2 linked regions of the Yarrowia lipolytica genome follow. The protein of the gene in region 2 purifies or fractionates together with the protein of the main gene of each other region. This does not show direct contact. Links are inferred from orthologs where the notes say so. Each region holds a gene or a part of one and is shown on either strand. Other genes may lie near its edges. The genes, in order: YALI1_C11271g and YALI1_D14462g.

The links.
Region 1: the proteins of YALI1_D14462g (region 2) and YALI1_C11271g purify together in Saccharomyces cerevisiae (affinity purification with mass spectrometry; 3 studies listed by BioGRID, with this or other methods). This does not show direct contact. The link is inferred for Yarrowia lipolytica from reciprocal best matches to the Saccharomyces cerevisiae genes RPB7 and TPK2.

The regions. Positions count from the first base shown.
Region 1 is NC_090772.1:1,125,282-1,128,776, forward strand, and holds YALI1_C11271g (uncharacterized protein), read left to right. Parts: upstream 1-1,883; coding exon 1,884-2,876; downstream 2,877-3,495.
Region 2 is NC_090773.1:1,445,110-1,448,300, forward strand, and holds YALI1_D14462g (uncharacterized protein), read right to left. Parts: upstream 1,125-3,191; coding exon 552-1,124; downstream 1-551. Other genes in the region: YALI1_D14453g (uncharacterized protein), read right to left, coding at 1-290; YALI1_D14477g (uncharacterized protein), read right to left, coding at 2,091-2,627. UniProt on the Saccharomyces cerevisiae protein: DNA-dependent RNA polymerase catalyzes the transcription of DNA into RNA using the four ribonucleoside triphosphates as substrates. Component of RNA polymerase II which synthesizes mRNA precursors and many functional non-coding RNAs.

The sequences.
Region 1 (3,495 bases), on a different chromosome or scaffold from region 2:
CATCAACTCTAATCAGATGCACTTGTAGAAATACGACACATAATGGAAGAAAAGTTTTCATATTTGCATGAAGCGGATTAAATGCAGTTAGCAGTACAAGTACAATACCCAGAAGAGAGATTTGTCCAGTTTAAATATCTCTCATATGCACCTTCGGTAGCCGTAGAGCTATGTACATGACACCAAACTCTTAGTAACATGTACCGTTGGACTCCTGAGACTCTGCTGATCCTTTTGGTACCATACATGACCTACTTTTATGAACGTGGAACCAGAGGGAACTACACAGCTCACATCTATCTTGCATCCAATAAACTTACCCTACCTCAGCTAAAGTTGCACTAACAACCGAGGGTGGAAACATGAGAAGCTGTGAACAATGCGACGGTAACCGGAATAGGCAGCAATTAGACCTAGAACTAGCGCGTCTCACATGGTTCTCATGTTCCTAGATTCGCGTCTGCTCCATTTGGTGAAGTTACATGGTGGGCAGATTCCCTAAACGAGATGCTAAGATGCTACGTTGGCTACAAAGACAGTGAACATCATATGATGGTATTAAATTGTTTCCCCGAATCAATCTCTTTCTTCTTATTATGCCCTTGTCTTTGTAGGTCTTGATCGCACCATTCTATGTTCATTCTAAGAGTCCCACTAAAGACGTACTTAACCACCCTCCCAGACTAACTAGAGCGTCGTGAGTGGTGCCAGTACTCTCTTGACCTGGTCTAAGACTCCCGTCAACTTCCTTTTTCATCTCTAGCCCCCTCTCAAACCCCCGAGACAACTACCAGTGGCTACAGGGGTAGTGCGTTGTCTCCGCTTTCGACTAGCTTGGTCAATTATAGGCCAAATCGAAGACTGTTTTTTTCAAGAACAATTCCCACACCTCAGAGAGTCCATTTCTATATCTTTCGTGTAACTACAATCTCTTTCCTCATCCAAATTACTCAGTTTCCGCAAATTTCTCGATTTTCTTGGACTCAAAAGTCAGGTTCGTCATACCAGCCGAGTCCCGCCATTATAATGAGCCAACCAAATCAACCCTGCATACCCCTTGCCTTGAACTGGCAGCTCCAAACCCCGTTTTGGACCGTCTATTCCCCTCCTGGCTGCATGTCGCTTAGATAAGCGGAAGTTTAATGTTTCTCATAATCTCATTCATGCGAGATAACGACAGCGGTTGGAGAGCGCAATTCAGACATAATTGGAGAGAAAAACGTACTTCCAAACTCCTAACTACTCCAAAAAAACCATGCCGCAACTTGTAAATCAATTGCACCAACAAATGTCGATTAAAATACAAAAAGATACCCTAACTCGACAAATACTGAAGCCACCGAAATTTCAAACCCATTATTGAGACCACCCGATCGCCATCAACTCTATGATACCAAATACGCTCCCGTCCATTAGTCATCAGCCATCATTATGTTTTTTCTTTCTTGATTCCGCTTACATAAGCATCGACATATATTAAGGTTTCGGCTGTGAGATGGAGGGTAATGCCTCATTAGCGCCGCTGCAGCGAGCCTCACAAGAGACAGAGAGACAGGGGCAGCGCTCGGATGTCGTCACGTGACTGTTTGGTATGTAAGCCGGCCAAGTCCGGGTTGATTTCTGGCATGTGTCGATCTCCAGCGGCGGCTGGGTCTTGCTGGCCTGTTCCCCCTCAAAATACCCTAACCCTTGGAATTAACCTCTGCAGCAGTGGGACACGCCAGCGCACGATACGTTAGCACGGTGACGATATTGTTTTAGTGACGGGCATTGCAACAGCTACAGACCGATTTTTTTGACATTTGAATTTGAGAGACGAACGTGACACCGCCTCTTGGACGATACGCGACAGTTTACACAAAGGACTTTTCTACACACCACCTATGGCATCTCTACCTAACAGAAGCACGGTTTCCAAGGGCAAGTACTCGTTGACGGACTTCTCCATCCAGCGAACGCTTGGAACGGGTTCGTTCGGCCGGGTGCATCTGGTTCGGTCGGTGCACAACAACCGGTACTACGCCATCAAGGTGCTGAAAAAGGCGCAGATTGTGAAGATGAAGCAGGTGGAGCACACCAACGACGAGCGGCGGATGCTCAAGCTGGTGGAGCACCCATTTCTGATCAGAATGTGGGGGACGTTCCAGGACTCCAAAAACCTGTTCATGGTGATGGACTACGTGGAGGGAGGCGAGCTGTTCTCGCTGCTGCGAAAGAGCCAGCGGTTCCCCAACCCCGTGGCCAAGTTTTATGCGGCAGAAGTCACCCTCGCCCTCGAGTACCTGCACTCCCACAACATCATCTACCGAGACCTCAAGCCCGAAAACATTTTGCTAGACAAGAACGGTCACATCAAAATCACGGACTTTGGGTTCGCCAAAGAGGTCCGCGACGTGACCTGGACGCTGTGTGGCACGCCAGATTACATTGCGCCCGAGGTGGTCACCACAAAGGCGTACAACAAGTCTGTGGACTGGTGGTCGCTCGGAATCCTCATTTATGAAATGCTCACCGGCTACACGCCCTTCTACGACCACACGCCCATGAAGACGTATGAGAACATTCTCATGGGTCATGTGCGGTACCCTTCGTACCTGCATCCGGATGTGACTGATTTGCTGACCAAACTCATCACCAAGGACCTCACCCGACGATATGGTAACCTGCAGGGCGGCCCACAGGACGTGAAGAACCACCCGTGGTTCTCCGAGGTCATTTGGGAGAAGTTGTTGTCCAAGGATATCGAGACTCCGTATGAGCCTCCCATTCAGAGTGGAGTGGGCGACACGTCGTTGTTTGACAGTTACCCGGAGGAGGAGCTGGACTATGGAATTGTATGTCCGGACCCGTATGGAAAGTTGTTTGGCGATTTCTAGACGACCAACAGCCGACGAACGGGAGATTGAATCTGAAGAATGCAGGTTTACTGTTGATCGACTGTTTGTCGCAGTGGGTCCCACCAGTTGTTGTTAACTCGATGACTGTCTTCCAGGAACTGTATGGAACACGAAGCCGTGACTGGTCAGTCTCAACAGCTGGAGCAAAGGTTATGTAAGGAATGTATGTATAGAAGTATTAGGGAGAGGGGGGGGAGTGTTTGGGTCTGATTGCGGTTGTTGGAAATAGATGTTGGATAGATTCAATTGGGGGAGTATTGTGAGTCAATTGCAACTGTTCGTCCCTTGAGACCGATTCCGAACACATTGATGATGGGCGGGATCTGTGACACGACTCCATGGTGTAGTCTGTGACAGTCTGTTGAAGCAACCGTTGTTGTAATGGATACGGGACCGCATGTGTAAGGATCCAGTGTCTGCAACCTTCTGGGGAGGAGATCTCCACTTGTCGGACGTGGTTCTGTCCTCATAGAAGGATCCAACCAGGGTTTTCATCGTCGGTTCACGCTCCATTCTCTGGTTCCTTACTCTGTGGGGACACATCTGTGTATATAAGCGTATCGAGAATCTCACCGGCCACTCCTGGAGATCGAGAGCT
Region 2 (3,191 bases):
GAAGCCGTGTGCAAAATGTACTTGATCTCGGGATGTTTTTCGAAAATGGCCTTGAATTCACCGGCGTTTCTCACGTCGGAAAGCGTTTCCAGCTCCAATTGGCCTGAAGCAATCTGCTGCTTGAAGGCCTCAGCCAGACGTGCGGCTTTGTGGGGGGATCGAACCGTACCGATGACTCTATGACCTGCGCTGAGCAGCTGGTCGACCACGTGGCTGGCCAAAAATCCAGTGGAGCCGGTGACGAGAGAAGTTGGTGGCATGTTGACGGAGTTGTATGACGGAGATGTCATGATGACACACTCTTCATCTGCATTATGTTTAGGTTGATAATGCAGGCGTCGTGGTTATTAACCAACACGATACACAATTCTATACGGCGAGATCAGATAATAGTAAAAGATGGTGCTAAAATCAGTCAAGGAGTTTCTGCTTCGCTTCTCCACTTACTGGTCAGTCTATCGCCGTGTTTGTAGCGATCGTAATTGTCTCCATATCTCCTTCTAGTGATTGCACTTCTACCTCCAGTTCATATAAATATGTATTATAGTACACTAGACCAAACCCAGATAATCCTCCTTGATAGTACCAATGGCAAACATTTCTCCCACGTCGGCTCGCACTCCGACAATCTTCAGTCGCACCCGACTTCCCTTTTCAATGACCTGATCTTCACTGACGTATGCTGGTGGGTTTGCGCTAGGGTTGAACTTCATGTCAGGAGGAATCAGATGGGACGAGACAAACACGGACAAGGGGCCCACGTCGCCAAAGAAGCCCATCTTGTTCACGTTGGTCACTATCGCATCCACCACCTCGTTTTTGAACGGTCTCCACACAATGGCTCGGTAGTTGACTGTGAACTCGGCCGAGCCGTTGGAAGGCACCACTCTGCCTTTGCCAATGTCGAACGGCTGGTCCAGCACGCACAGAATGTAGCCGAATTCTCCGGTGCAAGTGCCCTCCACGTCCGCCAGCAGCTTGGACCGCAGGTATTGGCCCATCTGGGGGCCAAAGTATGACGGATGCAGAGTCAGAGAGAGCGTCAAGTCTTTCTGCGTTAGTTCTGTGGAAATTTGGCAACCTCGTTGTGCCAAGCTCCGTTGGAGTCTCCATCGCCCGTCCATCGCCTGGTAGAGGCTTCAAATTTGTAGGATAAAACAACACGCTTGTGGTGCTCGTGCTCGTGTGGTTCCGTGCTGAAAGTGTTATGTCATGTGTACAGCTGAAGAACCGAGTAGACACTCAGCTGAGATAGGAGACTTCGTCACATGCTCACTCCTCCATCCCTCACCTCTCAACACCACGGACATGACACCATCCACCGTTCTCTCGTCGTCGAACATCACCATACCACAGCCCATCGAATCACGGGCCGATCTGGTGTCTGAACACGTGATTCCACCCGTCTGACATCATCCATTCATGTCTTTGCGCCTGCTTCGCCTTCCCATACTCACAACAAAAAACATGCCGATGGTTTCTGGAGGTCTTGACCGAGTATCTCTCTTGACGAAACTGTGAAGCTAAAAAAAGGTGTTTTGGGAGAAGCTCGAGACATGTCGTAGAGGCGGTGTAAATAGATGTGTTGAGAATAAATGTCTTCGGAACCTGGTTCATTCTCAAGGATGCAGTATTGTGCAATGTTGTATTGAGCGGGTTTGGTCAGAGTCGCCGTACCGTGTCTGATACCGCTAATACTGCTTCAGCTGACTGTTGTGGACTGCTGCTTATTAATCATAGTATCTCCCACCTCCACTGCAATAAAGTTGCTGGGTCACGTGCCACTCGGGGTGTTTTATGTTAAGGATGATGGGTAAATGTGAAGGAGTATTGTACGTAGCGACGACTGTGTGGGAAGTGAGGTGCTTGTAATTGGAGAATGACGATATCCGACGGGTTGAACAGATCTTGTATAATTGTTGGAGTCAGATTTGTGTCTGTTCTTTAACTAATTAGTGGTTGTAGATGCACGTTACTTGAACTGTTGGTCAGTATTGGTTGAGATGAAGCTGTGTGGTGTGTCTACTCTACAGTGCGAGTGGTGTTGTGATGAGTTGTAAAATTCATTTCTATAAATAAGTGTGGGCGTCTTACTTCTGTTGTTGGACGCCAGTGGCTCCCAGAGTGAACTTGAATGGCTCCTCGCAGGTGTAGTTAGCGCTGCCCAGAAGGTACACCTCCTGGCCTCCGACTACAGCTCCGTCTTCGGAGGTGCACGAGTAAAACTCCTGAGAGCCCTTGTAGTAGACCTCGCTGACAAACGAGCCTCCTCCCTGGATGAGCCAGCCAGCGGTGGAGTTGGAGGAGGTACTGGAGGGCTGCGAGACAACCAGCTGGCCGTTTGCAGCAACAGTAATCTCGCCACCAGAGGGTCCGTTGGACACAACAGCCAGCTGCTTGTCCTTAACGTCCACCTCAAGTGGGGAGACGGAGGAGTTGCCCTTCTCAAGACCAAAGACCACCTTGTTGTCTCTGAGCTGGAGAGGCTTCATTCCCATGGCCCCGGCGCCAGGGTGAAGACGAAGGGTGAATCGCGTAGCAGAAGGACTGTTGCTGTAGTCCTGAACAGGAGCTGCAAAGACACCAGTGGCAGCTGTGGCTAGGGTGGCGTAGTACTTGAAGAACATGGTGATGGTGAAAGTAGTTGTGAGGGGAGTGCGATGGACTGAGAGCAGTGTCCACTATTTATATATATCTCACCACTCAGATAGACTACCGTATACAGCAATTGTCACAGAAGATACTGTATAACCAGCACATTGCATCATATTGCAGAGGAGTATCAAGAGATGGATGGTCCTGCATATGTCAGGTACCCGTTCTGAAACGAGGGGCTGTGCAGAGAGAGGTGTATTGTGGTAAATGAAAGAGCGATTGAGAAACAAATGACGCAAATCAATTGATCAATTCGTCACAGGGACTCTTTCGAATAAAAATTCAACCCCGTATGATCATCTCAACCTCATTCAAGCGGTGCTATCCGAAGACGATTGAGTTCAACCGAACACCATTGTGATGAACATCCTACTGTATGAAGAGAGGTACAGTATGTGCATAACAGTGTAGTAAGTGAAGAAAATAGGAAGACATTGGGAGTCGTACATGCGTGAGAATGTGTTACAGATGGAGCATGATACAAGTGTTTGCTTCTTTGGAATGAGCACCTATCATGCCATGCTACCCCCTTCCTA